Astyanax mexicanus: one gene and its partner. The protein of the gene in region 1 binds, or shares a complex with, the protein of each later gene. Links are inferred from orthologs where the notes say so. Each region holds a gene or a part of one and is shown in the gene's direction. Other genes may lie near its edges.

What was found.
Region 2: the proteins of thoc5 (region 1) and thoc1 are in contact, whole or in part, in a cryo-EM structure (PDB 7APK), measured with the Homo sapiens proteins. The link is inferred for Astyanax mexicanus from reciprocal best matches to the Homo sapiens genes THOC5 and THOC1. Residues at the interface, in NP_001002877.1 of Homo sapiens: Tyr52, Arg113, Lys120, Asp124, His127, Leu128, Gln131, Asn132, Leu134, Tyr135, Glu136, Met138, His139, Thr145, Lys146, Glu149; in NP_005122.2 of Homo sapiens: Glu60, Arg145, Arg146, Leu147, Ser148, Ser150, Gln151, Lys285, Met286, Leu289, Val296, Tyr297, Phe298, Leu302, Ser304, Leu307, Leu310, Gln311, Ser313, Asp314.

Annotation. Positions count from the first base shown.
Region 1 is NC_064409.1:52,841,096-52,848,761, reverse strand, and holds the start of thoc5 (THO complex subunit 5 homolog), read left to right. Parts: upstream 1-4,578; 5' UTR 4,579-4,683; intron 4,684-5,823; 5' UTR 5,824-5,825; coding exon 5,826-5,921; intron 5,922-6,218; coding exon 6,219-6,281; intron 6,282-6,526; coding exon 6,527-6,670; intron 6,671-6,773; coding exon 6,774-6,887; intron 6,888-6,982; coding exon 6,983-7,080; intron 7,081-7,604; coding exon 7,605-7,666. Other genes in the region: zgc:158398 (transmembrane protein 248), read right to left, coding at 284-310, 458-598, 2,365-2,524, 2,610-2,784, 2,891-3,149, 3,471-3,629. UniProt on the Homo sapiens protein: Component of the THO subcomplex of the TREX complex which is thought to couple mRNA transcription, processing and nuclear export, and which specifically associates with spliced mRNA and not with unspliced pre-mRNA.
Region 2 is NC_064415.1:2,579,867-2,587,384, forward strand, and holds the start of thoc1 (THO complex subunit 1), read left to right. Parts: upstream 1-4,442; 5' UTR 4,443-4,493; coding exon 4,494-4,541; intron 4,542-6,272; coding exon 6,273-6,346; intron 6,347-7,518. UniProt on the Homo sapiens protein: Component of the THO subcomplex of the TREX complex which is thought to couple mRNA transcription, processing and nuclear export, and which specifically associates with spliced mRNA and not with unspliced pre-mRNA.

The DNA of each region.
Region 1 (7,666 bases):
AATTTATTGTAACACTTTCACTTCATTGTTTAGTGTACATTTTTCCCATCTTAGACAATTCTGGTTGCTGAATATCCGACGCATCCTTTTTCTATTGTCTTTACAAATTGTAATATGCAGAGCACAGAAGACGAGGTGAGCAGGAAGACAAAGTTGGAACAACATTTTAATGCAATGATTACACCTCAAAGAGTGAAAGTGTTTAATAAACTTATTAATTTAAATATATAGGAAACACACTTAAAAAAAATGATGGTCTTTTGTTTACTTTTCAACATGAATGTCACATGCTCAGGACCCCAGCAGTCACCTGTAATATGAAATTGCACATTTCAGTAAAGGTGTCTGTACATGACAAGCAATTTATTTACAAAAATTTATGGATTTTTGAGCACATTGTGTAAAGAACCAAATTAAGTTCATCCATGAACATCAAATAAAGTGTTTGGTTCCTCACCTTTTGGAAATGAAGATCGTTGGCAAGGTGACGCCGAGGCCTGGAGCAGGTAAGAGTTCCAGTAAGGCACATCATGCTGCAGACAGCCAACAGCACAACGCTCACCAGCATCAGATGATATCTAGCTAGTGCTTTCTCTTCCTAGGAAGGGAGATGCAGCAGAAAGGTTAGTACATTGTATGAAAAGACACCATTTCCAGCTGCGCACTGATCAAGGAACTGCTACAAGATAGTGGACAATTAAAGACTGGATCAAAGAGAAAAATACTATGATATACGATGTTGGTGTAAAGGGCAAGGTATGTAAAACAAAACATGATTATCCCATGTGTGAACCCAAAAACATGGGTTGATGGGAAAGACAATCTAGCAGATTCCTAGGATTCCTTGATGATCAGGTTCTACATTCTGAAAGCAGGTAAAGTGGCAACTATGTTGACATTTGTCTGAACAGATTATGCTAATAAATTGACGTGTGAGTGCACAAAATTTTTTCATGCTTATTGTTGCACATGTAGAACTGTCACATTAGGATTAATGCATGCATTTCAGTCTAGCTATTTAGATAGTGGGGCATTAATGCTTACTAGCTATTTACCCGAAAAGCCTATGTTCATACTGCTGGTATGAGGGAGTTCTGAAAATGTCTGTCCAACACTGATAATTGCAAGTGATCATACGGAATTTGCATGTTTAGGCGTCACAAACCTATCTGCATAGGTTGCTTTAGTAACAACATGGCCGACAGTAACCTGGCCATGCTGTTGGATCTCCAGACTTTTGTTACTCTGGATTTGATGTGGTTACTGTTGCGTTGCGAGTGATGCAAAAGACATTTTAAAATGGTTTGGGCAGTTAGAACATCCACAGTCTTTAGAAGTTGTCTGAAAAATCCACATTAAATCCAAATGTTCCAAACTGTATTTCTTTTTGCCGCCTTCTTTTTTGCGGTCTAAACTATCAAATAAATCTGAATACAAGGTACATATGCAAAAAGCCAAAACCAGAACAAAAAATGTTTTTCAGTGTCCTTTTCCCACTCACACTACCACACAGACTCACAAAACAGTCTGCATTATGTTAAAAGTAAAGTAAGGTTTATCAACTCACTGTACAATAACAGTAAAAAACAAAAAAAGATTTCCTTCATGCACATGTACATTAAAAAAACACTTGTAACAAGATGGAAAACTATACATTAGTCTCAGAATCTTCCCAAAAATAGCTTATTGTGGAGTGAGTGTCAGGGATCAGAACAAAAGTAAATTTACTACAAAGTAAGTTGCAGGAAACCAGAAACATAAAATTCTCCTCACATCAGCAAAAGTTTTGTACAGGTGGTGGTAGTGGTTTGTGATTGTGTCTAAAAAGATGCATAAAAGTGCTTGTCTGACAAGGAAGAATCTTTTAGTAAGTTTATTTTTTAAACCGATGGACTGAAATTTAAAGTTGACTATTACCCGTTTCTGGGGTGTGCGCGTCCACATGCTATAGTAACTGGGTAATATGCACTTTTTATATAAGAATGTTAGGACCACCTCTACGACTTACCATCTACGAGGTAGATCTAGCTAGCTAGGTAGCTGTCTAATGGAGTAAACAGTGTTTAAGAACTCCAGCAGCACTGCTGTGTCTGTTCAAGACATTAACACAATCACTGTGTCAGTAGTGTTGAGAATAACCTAACAACCCAAATGCCTGCTCTATGATAGGCCTGTGAAGTCCTGGCTATTGACGAATAGGGTAAATAGAAGAGGACAAAGCATGAGAAATCGAAAGGACTACATTCTGTAATTTAAAAACTATAAATCTTCTTATAATCAGTAAGCAGACAAGATGGACAGTAGAAAAAAGAATATGACCATAATATTCAAATTTGTTATGATATTTGATCATATGTTTTTTACCTGAGTAAGTAGCACAGTCAGTTTGGGGTCAGGTGTAAACTTTAAGATGAGGCATGGAGATGCATTATCAGAATCCTGCCTGTATGATTCTGTAGCAAAGACTCTGACAGGAGAAATATCCTTCTCTGGGTTGTAGTTTGCAGGGCATTCTGGAGGTTCCCTGAAAATATACTCAATTCAGCATACAGGTATATAATCTAAAAAAAAAACACACATTTATGAACTTCTATTTGGTAGTTGCTTACGATCTCAGCGGGAGAAGGTGAGCTGGAGCTGAAATTTTCAAGCAGGACATGGAAGGCTTCGTTTCAGCCTCAGTAGGCAATTTTGGATCAAAGGCAGAGTTAGAGACTGTGCTTGATATTTGAGATTGGAGGTGCAAGAACAAAGATATGTTAAATAACTCCTTTCCAGCAACACCTGGGGAGAGAAAAGGTTCAATAAATGAACGCTGGACAGTTTTTGAAAAATCAATCCAATGAATAGCATTCATTTTTATAGACCAAATACAGGAGCACATACACACCCTTTAGGCCTAACTGGCTTCCCAATAATGTAGCACTAATGCTGTTGTGACTTGGATCATTTTCAGTGCACACCAGAGGTACAAGTAGGGACACATGAACAACTCCTCTAGTGTCTTGGGAAGCATTTGAGAAGGTTCCAACTCCATGATCTAATAGCAGAGGGGATTCATCCTCTTGTTTCCCACCCAACAGGTCTGTATTGTTTACATCTGTGCAGTACCTCAGGCTTGCAATTGATCCCAGTATTTGATTCCAGTCCTAAAACAAATATAGAGGACTCTTTTAGGCCTATAGAAACATTTAGTAAAATTAGATAAAATTCTGATTTACAGAAGTGCATTGCAGGGAATAGATGACTAGAAACATGTGGTAATACATGTTTGTTATCCAAAGTAATGGATGATTGATCACCAAGGATCTTTAGACAGACTTATATCATATCAATGTTGTTGCACCAGCATTATTATTAAGCTGTATAAAACTATGAATAGTAAATATTACATTGTGTGACAAACCAGTTCCTTTAGGGTCTAGCCTTCTAGCCTCAGTACTCTGATAAACATATACAAACATAGTTACCAAGCTGATGTCTGGGTTCTTAATGTCATGTTGTTTCGAGTATATCCCAATTCCAATAAAGGCTCCAGCCAGGATCAGCAGGCAGAGAAAAAAAACAACAACAGGCGGATGATGGACAAGTTTAAACCTCAGATTTGTTACAGGCTGCCACTGAGCCATGGTGTGTTACAAAAACCCTCAACACAAGCACCACCTGAAACACATACAAGTAAGAGTATTGGCAGGTATGTAAGCTGACTTTAACTGATTAGAATATTAATCAATGATCTAATCAGACCTTTGAGCTAAAAAAAACCGTACCTTTCATTTGCTTAAGTTAGCTATCCCAGAGGAATACTGGGCAATGAACCTGAGCAGAGTGAACAATACGTTATATTGTTTTAGAGTCAACACTGCACAGATACTACCGATTAGACGTTAAAAGCAATGTTAACTCTTTAAGTACAACAATAGTAAGTACACACTTGACTTCCTCAGGTGGGAGCGAAGAGGGACTTTAGTTCATGTTTCAAAATAAAAGTCCTGCTGGGATTAGAGTGACGTTGCAACAGACATAGTAAATAAGCGAATTTAATGATTTGCAACGTCTTTTCATAGATTAGACTTACTTTTTGATACGTTAAGAACGGCGTGTTTTAAGTGCATGTGGAAACAAAACACGAGTTTACACATTGAAATGCTTTTCACGAAAAGTTATATTTTTCAATGTGGGACGTTAAGTTGACCGTTGAATAAAGAACACTTCTGGGCAACAACTACATTATTTAATAGTAAATACCAGCAGCCATAAAGAACAGCTCTGCAGTTTTTTTTTTAATTTCTGCATTTTCTGCAAATAAATGCTCTAAATGACAATATTTTTATTTGGAATTTATTATTATTTTTTATTCAAACATATACCTATAAATAGCAAACTAATTCAGAAACTGAAGTGGTCTCAGAGCTGTATATCTAGTATTTTATTATTATTATTATTATTATTATTATTATTATTATTATTATTATTATTATTATTATTATTATTATTCTCTGTTTTTAAGGGTAAAGGTTAAAATTATAGATTTACTGAGGCAAACAAAAGTACTTAACAGACGAAGTATACCACCAATTCAGCTCCTTTTTAAAAGAGACTTTTATTTTAACCAGGGTTCAGATACAGATTCACCGTAGTCTCTGAATTCACACATCGTTCCCCTCTGTCCGCGCTGCTGAGGTAATTGTTTTATATAGTCTAAAATATCTCACGCCTGATTAAAGTGTGATTATTGAAGCTAAGTATTTTTGATGTCTGTTATTTAAGTTTATGTAAATAAATCTCCGTTTATACTAAATGTGAGGGGCCGTGGCGGTATTTGCGCTGTATTAGTTAGTTAGTCGGTGGATCCTGTGAGCTCCAGTCTTTCCTCTCAAAATTTTATCTCTTACATTATTTATTTAAAAAGTTACACAGATATTTCCAAACATCTCACTGGGGCGGGTTTATCCATCCAAATGCGTTCTGATTAATAGCAAAACACTGTGCTTAGAGACCCAGTTCCAAATATTAGCAAGCTAACATTGCATTAGCAGGCTAACATTAGCATTTCTTATTCCGAAGGTCCATGCTGCTAGTTAGGTTATCTCTTGATCTATCTAGCTAGGTACAAAGTTAGTTAGGTTAAGGATTTGGTAATAGAGGTGGGTGATATGGCCCTAAAATAACCACGAAATTTCATGGTATTTTTGCGATAGTGATTCTTTTGGTGATGACAAAACACATAGAATTTTAGTTTCAGTATGACCTATTAGAGTGTTAAATAACTAAATGTGAAAGCTCATTTTTGCACTGATATCCCTGCACTACATGCATTTTTGTAACTAGGTTGTTGTTTTTCATGTAAAAATTAACTTGTCAAAATCGAACAGTCACTTAGTGCATGTAAATGATTTTAAACCAATGCCTTTGAGCCAAAAACAATACAAAAATATATTGATTGTGTACATGCAGTGTCTAGTAGCCTGACTCAGTTTTTATCTCCCATGATTTAAATATCAACATGCCATCTAATTTCAAAATAGTGTGTTAAGATGTGCAGCATCTGGCGCTAAACATTATCTGTCACTTCTATGTATTTTTAAAATGTACTTAATGTGCCAGTTGACAAAATACACTGCTTGTCCTAAAAAAGGTCACACAGATTTTTCACCTATAAATTTGATTACAGTGGCATTGTTTCCACAAGCTTATGTAATGTCAAAACATTTAGTTCCAATTATGTGAGTTTACTTCACATTGTGTGTGTGGAAATGCTCTTACTTTCACTAGTGAACATATCCCTGAGTTCTTTGATTTAATTTGGCAATTTTTTTCTAGCCATGTCTTCTGACACTCTGAAAAAGCGCAAGGCAAAAGTAATCCGGAGTGATGGCGGGACTCCTGAAACTAAACGAGGTCGAGGTGAAGGGGATCAGGTCAGTGGTATCTTCCTTCTCTTAATTATGACAATTTTGGAGAGACTGTTCTGTTTTCTCAGAAACTGATTCCATGTACATAGCTGTTATATATTTTTTGTAGGAGTAAGACTTCAGTAGGATTCAGTTTTGCTCTATCCATTTAGCATTTTGACATCCAAGTGTCCAGAGGGTGTACAAGGGTGTTACATGCTTATATTTAACACCCTTAAAGCTGTAGACTTTAGGTTGTATTTAGAGTGAATAGTAAATGTTGGAGATTCTTTGATGCCACACTCATGTGAAATGTATTGGTAGGGAAGATTTCCAGCTGGAGTCTCCAATGTGGACCAGAAGAAGCTGTTGTCAGTGAAGAACAAGGTCCAGCAAAAGTCTCTCTGCTCTAATTTCTATTCTTTAAAAAAAGACTTACATAGCCTATTTCTGGTGCACCCACCTCTTTGTATGTACACACTTGGGTGAGAGCAGGGTATAAAATGCTAAATTTGTGATAGAGTAGGTAAGAGAGAGAGGTTTGTTCAGACATTGCCTGTTTTTGGTATAAAGAGCTAGTAAAGGTGAATATTTGCTACCTCTATGTATTCCTGAGTGCTTGTTTTCATTAGGAGGTGCGTGTGTATAACGAGGAGGTGGAATTGGAAGGCAGAGACCCGGAACAGGATTACGTCCTTTATAAAAGTACCTGTGACTCCTTGGCAAAACTAATGGCTGAAATACAAGAACTTAAAGCCAATGGTGCAAAAGAAGGAGTAAGTTTCTTTCTTTTTTAAAAAAAAAAATAAACCCAGGCTAAGATGAAAGGAGTGTTGATGCTAAACAGCATAACTAAAATGCCCATGTTTGTATATACAGAGTGAGGAGGTGGAGGAGAAGCTCAGACAAGGTTGTGTTCATTTCATTACCCTGAAGAAGCTGAATCGTTTGGCACACATGAGACTGAAGAAAGGACGTGATCAGACGCATGAGGTACTCACAAGAAACACCCTTTTTCGTCTCTTCCTTTTCTAGTTTATTTGCACATAGTCTCTCACCCACCCACTGCTTTTCTTCTGTTTCTTCAGGCGAAGCAGAAAGTGGATGTGCTGCATCTGCAGCTTCAGAATCTTTTGTATGAGGTCATGCATCTTCAGAAAGAAATTGGCAAATGCCTTGAGTTTAAGTAAGTTATTGTCCTTTTAAAAACATACTACTGTATGTTTTTGTACAAACTTGAGCAGCTTGTTCCCAAAAAATCTCATTCATAAAATTATCATAAATTAATCATAATTTACGTAAATTATCAATTAACTGTAAATACTTACCACAGGCAGTCTACCAAAGCGAGTAAAAAGGTGCTCTTGCATTAGAATGTATAATTTAAACATATGCAAACATTGAAAGCTACCAAGGAACTTTCCAAAGAAAAGTTAATATTCAAATAAGCAGGTGGTCCTTTCACTGTTATTTTTGCTTAATGTAGTCAGATATCAATCAACTCGACTTAAGTTTAGGGATGGTAGGATGATCTGTGCTTGTGAAATGTGGTTAAAACATACACGACCAGGATTGAGCACTCAAGTTTTGGTCTTTAAAACTCAAACAGATCTCAGTATGTTATTGTGCACCCAGCACATTTGTAAGTAGAATTGTATTTTAGATGGTTAATGTTTATGTTACAAAGCGTATATGTGTGTATACGTTTAGGTCCCAGCATGAGGAGATAGAATTAGTGAGTGTGGATGATTTTCTTCGGGATGCTCCAGCCG
Region 2 (7,518 bases), on another chromosome or scaffold:
TTGTTTCCGGTTGAGAGTACGCTGTGCGCTATTGGCTGCCGCTTCTCACCGGTGTGTGGATGTAAAAATGTGCTTGTGTGTAAAAAAAAAACAAAACTTGTAATTGTAAAGCGTCCTTGTGTTTCTAGAAAGGCGCTATATAAGTTGAACTTCATTCATTCATACTGTTTCAGCTGCATATATGCTGATTATAAATCAATGTATTTTAGTAGAATGTAAAGATTGCATAAATTTCCTTCGGGATAAATAAAGTATCTATGTATCTATTTATCTATCTATCTATCTATCTATCTATCTATCTATCTATCTATCTCTCTATCTATCTATTAAAGAAGTTTAGTTGGACTGGAGTTTGTCTCTGCACGGATCATCTTCATACTAGACTACATATAGAGTGTTAAGAGTATATACACGCATACTATACTCAGTCTATAATGTGAAAGAGTGCACGGCTCAGTGAAGTGCTGATTCTGTATCACCAGTCTAGCGTTCACAGCTCTGCAGTTCCTGCAGTCTAGGCGTGCCAGTATAGGGCATGTTTAAGTTTGGCTTGCAAAAGTATTCAAACCCCTTGAACTTTTTCATGTTGTCTCGTTACAACCACAAACTTAAATGTATTTTATTGAGATTTTAAATGATGGACCAACACAAAGTGGCACATCATTGTTAAGTGTAAAGAAAATTATTTTTTGCTGTTTTTTTTTTTATTTGAAAAAGTGTGACGTGCAAAAGTATTCACCCTTTATCAATAGTTGCTGTAGTAGAGCCTTGTTTCACTGTAATTATAGCTGCAGGTCTTATGGGGTTTGTATCTACCAGCTTTGATCATCTAGAGACTGAGATTTTTATGAATATTCTCTGATCTAAACAATTAAATCATTCCACTGTAGCTCTGGCTGTATGTTTAGGGTCATCGTCTTGCTGGAAGATCTCAAGTCTTTTACAGCCTCCAACAGCTTTTCTTCTTCCAGGATTGTTCTGTATTTATTTATCTTCATCCATCTTCCATCCATCAACTCTGACCAGCTTCCTAAATCTGTCCCTGCTGAAGAAAAAAGCGTCCCCACAGCATGATGCTGCCACCACCATGTTTCACAGTGGGGATGGTGTGTACAGGTTGATGAGCAGCATTACTTTTCCGCCACACATAGCAATTTACATTTAGGCTAAAAAGTTCAACTTTGGTCTCATCTGACCACAGAACTTTCTTCTTCCACATGTTTGCTGTGTTCCTATATGGTTTTCTTGTGGCTACAAACTGCAAACAGCACTTCTTACGTCTTTCTTTCAACAATGGTTTTCTTCTTGCCACTCTTATATAAATTCCAGATTTGTATAAAAAGGTTGCATGACTTATAGTTGTCCTGTGGACAGATTCTCCTGATCCACCTGATCTGTGGATCTCTGCAGCTCCTCCAGAGTGACCATGGGTAGCTTTACAGGCCAACCTTCTTGGAACATTTTTAAAATGTTTCTAAATGTTCTTATAATGTTCTTTTTTATCTGAGTTGTCTTTAGCTCATCTTGAGTTAAATTGTTCATCACAGTTATGTTGGCATCGCTCTCACATCACTTTACTGTGTGTGTGTGTGTGTGTGTGTGTGTGTCACTCTCTGTTAGCTGACAGTGAACTGGAGTGGAGAAACGAGGACAGGCTCTTGTTTACTCTCGGAAAACAATGTGTGTTTTTTTGCAAAATCTGGCAACCGACAATGAGATGCCACAGGCTTTGTTTTCATTGATGAAGCTGCAGTGTGTTTATTTGTGTTCCCATTCTGTCTCTTTTCTATTTACGTCTCCCTCACACACTCACACACCCACAACATGTGGCCACAAGTAGTTGGACAGCACTCGTTACGAGTCAATTCAGCTTTATTTTTGTACATGCAATGCCAGGATTCATGGAGCTCAGATTGTAAAAGAGTGCAGAGTTCAGGGAGCATGAGATCATCATCTTCACACATGGATTCTCCAACACAGAGTCCACACCTTAACCCTTATTGAGAATCTTTGGGATGTGCTGGAGAAGACTTTCAGTAAATACACCACAACAACCTCACAGCAACACCTAGGCAACCAACATCTTTCCAATGTAACCACACAGCAACATCTTAGCAACCAACATCTTTTTAAAATAACCACACAGCAACACCATAGCACCCAACACCTTTCCAAAGAAACCTTGTAGAAACACATCAGGAACCCCTCAGTTAACACCTGGTACATCACAGCAACCTCACAGAAACAACTTAGCAACCAATTTTCCAAAGTGATTGTGGGGTTAGTGAGTCTGGAGCAGTGGCGATTGCTCTAAGACTGCAAGGGAAGCTCAGCTTCCCCTAAAATGTAAAAAATAAGTGATTAAATATATACTGTTGTGTGTACATGTCACTGATTAAATATGCGCTACACCGCGCTGAACTTAGTTCAGAATCAGCCTCTTATCACTGGTAACGCCGCGGCTTTCCTCTCACTCATTCCCGCAGCTTCACAGCGCTGCTTTAAACAGTGCACACACTTCAATAGCGGAGCAAAGCGCGCGGCCAAACCAGACGAGTCATTGGATAAACGCTGGGCTTTGTCCCGCCCATCGGACGCTCAGCGTCTCTGGGGGTCTATGGGGCAGTGGGCTGGCCTCGGCTTCTGCATGATGATTGGATGACCTGTCTGAAGCGGAGTCTCTTTTTGATTGACAGCGAAATGAGCGAATCAGCGATCTTTTAGTGTAAAATATGTGATGGGAGCATTTCCATTCTGTTCTGAGTCGAACCGGAGACTTTCCTAATCCTTATAGCGGCATTTTCTTAATTAAAAACGACTAGCGACAAATCCAGCTTCTATTTCTGGTGCTTTTCTGTAGCTTCTGTAGACTTCTATCACTCTTTCTGACTTTTATCACTCTTTTCTATCGAAGTTTCCCGTCACAAAGCACTCACAGACGGACACACTTTTCAGCTGTACTGGTTTGATAAAGTGAGCTGGCTGACTGGAAGTGCTGTAACAAATAAAATGTACCGATGGCCATTCCTCTTAATGAAACCATCTCAGGACATAAATGAACAGGGGCCAGTAGTAAGTATTGTGTTATCATTAAAAATAATTTAAATAATTTAAATTAATAAATGGATTATTTAAGGAAATTAAAACTGTCATTTTAACTGTGATTTAACTGATCATTTTATGTTTATTCATGTCATAGCGTCTTTTTTATGTAATTGTTCAATGTAAAGAATGGGTACCTTTTGGTTGTGTAGTGAAAACTTGAAAATAATGCCTTTTGTTTACAAAAAAAAAACATCTCAGGGAGAGTAGAATTTTTGTATAAATAAAACTACATATGTTAAGATTTAGGCCGAAATTGAGCTTCCCCTCCTTGAAAGACCAGCATCCGCCACTGATCTGTAGTGAGTCTGTAGTGAACAGAGCAGATCCGTAGGTCATTAGCAGTAGTGAGTCTGTGGTGAGTCTGTAGTGAACAGAGCAGAGCGATCACTGTACAGAAATCAGATCTGCAGGTCATTAGCAGCTCAGTGTTTAAATGGGTTTTATGGGAAAAGTCATTATTTTACACTTTAATGCAAATCAAGCTCTCAGAATAAGCCATTACTGTAAAGTGGAGAAACCCGAGACTTTTATTACTGTAATCAGAAACATCAGCACCACCACACACATATATTTACTCCCAACCAGAACAATAAATACAAACTGGTTCAGTTTCATAATTTATATTAAATCTACATTATTCTAAATGTAATGTATCTCTACATTAATCTAATATTAATATAATGCTCATTAATTAATTAACTAATTTATTTACACATTTACTTATATATTCAATACTTAATTCACTCACCCATTCATTGATTAAATTAATTATTAATAATTGTATTTGAATAAATCTTTCACTTCCCATTCTTCTGCTTCTTCTTCTTCTTCTTCTTCTTCTTCCTCTTCCTCTTCTACTTCTTTTTTAATGTTATTATTAATCATTTATTCACAGAAATGTAATTCATTACACATTTATTTTTTATTCATTCATTCAATTAAATGAATTATTGTTTTATTTCTTAATTAATCTAGTTTTCCTTTTGTTGTAGTAGTAGGTGTTTTTCTTCATAGTTTGAAAGAGTTTAGTACTATATACATATAATGCAGAACAATATAAAACTATTTAAAATAATTAAAAAATAATTTATGTATTTAAGGTGTGTCAAATTTCTTTACGCTTATTATATATTGTTTTATTTTTTACGTCAAAATATGTTATGAACTCATTACATGTTCTATGCTTCTTATATAAATTAATTCATTTTTTGATAATTGTTTTTTTTTCTAATTTCTGATAGCATTTTTTCTCAGAGCCAGCAATGACTTTTATTTTGTAAAGTGTAATTTTCTCGGCGGGCCGGTGGCGCCCCCTGCTGGTGGAGGTGCGGTTTGCAGGCAGTAAATGACCCGGATGTGTAGCAGTAAGGAGGGCTGTAGCGGTAAAGATGTCTCCCGGCGTGTTTAACCTGCTGGAAGCGCGGGAGAAACTCACGGTAAAAACACGCTTTTAGACTCGTTTTTACTGTAGTTTTAGTGCAGTTTTACTCTATAACAGCTGTAGATGAAAAAGCTGTGCTGTTTGGGCGGGTAGCGCCTTATTAAGGCATGTTTTTTCACTGTGTTTATGGAGAGGCTGTAGCTTTTCTGCGTAACTCTCCGGTCCACCTTAAATACCGTCGCTGTTTCATTGTAGTGCTGAGAGGCGATAGACAGCAGCTAATGCTCAATTTAAGGTAGAACGGGTAATTCAAAGAAACGTTGCTGATTCAGATGTTCAGTGTTTATGGAAACTCAAGCTATTGAACTGAATTACTTATAGAGCTGAGCAATATACCGATTTCTTATCCTATCGTGATTAATTTTCTCATCATTTCGACAATATGCTTTTTTTCAAAGAATATCGTTGATGTTTTTAGGGTTTGTTTAAAAAAATATTGATTAGTTTTTTAAATATAGACGATTTTTAAAAGAATATCAGCAATATGCTTTTTTTTTTAGGAAAATCGGCGATATGCTTTTTTTTAAAGAATATCGATTATGTAGGGTTTTTTTTTTTAGAATATAAATATTTTTTTAAACAAAGACGATTTATTTTAATCAACTAAAGTTATATGCTCTTTTTTTAAAAGAACATCAACGATATAACTTTTTTAAAAAAAATTCTTTTTATTTTAGGAAAATCAGTGATAATGTTTTTTAAGAATATCAATGATTGTTTTTTTTTATAGATATGCCTTTTTTAAGAATATCGACAATATGATAAATAATTAAAGTGCACTGTCCCAACTGAAGCTACATTTCATTACAGACTGTAAAAATATCAATTTAATTGGATAATGTACAGCAAAAATATAATAATCACTGTACTGATTATAAAAGAGCATTTGAATATCTGAATAGCAGAATCTACCACTTTTACTTAATTTAGATTTCGTCTCAAAACATGATTATTGCTGTGTATCATTAAAAACTGTTCTTAAATATTGTGATATATTTTTATCTTTTTGCCCAGCTCTGTCAGCGTGTGAAATACATACTACAGTCATGGCTGAAAGTGTTGGTAACTTTTACCAACCAATTTTACCAGAAAATAAAAAAATGTTTTTGCCAGAAAATGACTGCAGATGCACGTTTATACACGTTTTTCTGCTGTTGTTTTTATAGGTTTGTGCCAACCATTCAGTGCTTTATTTTTTGTTTTACATTCCATATAACTAATTCTGACCTGATTTTTTAGAACAAAATGATTTATGAATTTGGCGTCATTTATCTTTCAACAAAATTTTACCTTAAAACATTAAGTCATGTTTTTACAAAAAAACAAAAAAAAAACATGAATGATCTGTAAACATGAATCAGTTTTGAGTTTAGCCTCATTATTCAGAAAATAGCTTGGGCTCTTATGGGTTGCCATTATTATTAATATGAAAAATGGGTAAATAATCTCAATTATTAAAACAGAAATGAAATAACTCCACTGTTTTTTAAGCAGAAGAAAGTTTACACGCTGTGTTATCCAGGTAAAGGGCTCCTCCCACTGAGTAATAACAGAATGGGTAAAACTGAAATCAGCAGAAATGATATTATGCATGTTATGTATGTGTGTTGTATGATTGACAGGGTGAAAGAAGCGGATGAAGTGGACGTTGAATGGACAAAAAAGTCTAATAATTGTATTATTAATGTATATATGATTAAATATAAGTTGTGTATCTCCTCTGCAGGCGGGTACAGGAAGTGCTCTGGGAGCTCGGAGCTGTAAACCCCTCACCAGCGCCTTCAGTCACCTGTCTGGAACGTGAGTTTCTGATTTAGAGTTTAGATTTCTGCCTGAACCCGAACCGAACTCGGGTCCTCTCGGGTCGGGCTCGAGAAAATGATCTTATAAAGTAATTCTGCATACACTATAAAAAACAACTCTATGGTAATATTGCAATATTTATTTTGCTGTTTACTGTATTTACTTATAATTATGTGTTTATAAAATATATGTTTATATAATGAACTAAATATGCTTTTTTTTCTTTGTTGCATGGCTTTATTTATGGTTTTTCATGTCTGTTTTATGATTAAATAAAAACTGTGAAGTATCTAGTAGAGAACCTTCTCCACAATGAGACACAAGCCCGGAAGAAAAATAAAATAAATGAATATTTTTAACTAAAAATAATAAAAATATTGCTTCGATCAAATCAAGTCAAGAGGTTTTTTATTGTCATTATATCTGAGTACAGGTACACAGTGTAGTGAAATTAAGGGTGTACTCACACTAGGCAATCCGAACCGGGCCCGGGCACGGTTACCTCCCAAAGCACGGTTCGTTTGGCTAGTGTGATCGCTCCGAACCGTGCCCGGGCCCGCTTGGAGAGGTGGGCCCAAGCACGGTTCACTTGGACCCGGGCACGGTACAGATGCAGTGTGAGCGCAAACCGTGCCCGGGCACGGATCAAGATGACGTCAGTGATGCGACGCTACTGTAAACGGAGGACGTTTTATACACAATTCTGCATATAATATTTTTGAAAAGGGTTCTAAAGAGCACCATAATGGTTAGTGTTACCCATAATAAATTAGGACTACTATCTACAAGTCCTAAACAACAAACACATTTTATTATTACTTGAGTTTTATGTTTCGCTCCTTTGGTCACTATTTATGTATATAGCAAGTACGTCTCTTACCTTACTGATGAACGTGAATTGTAGTCCGCGAGTAAAGCTGCAAATTTCTCCCTGGACGTCTGCTGCTTGTGTAAAAACCTTCTTACACGTGCAGCACGATTAGCAGTAAATCGTTGTGTTGCACAATCAATGAATCTCTGGTTCAGTTGCGTATTTGCACGCCCAAAACGACTCCAGATAAACAAAAACAACAGTACAATCCTGAACTCCATTGTTTTGCGCGCGCATACTGTTCTTCAAAACAAAAGTCGCCTGTTGATGACGAAAGCGTGCTCGGGCACGGATCGTT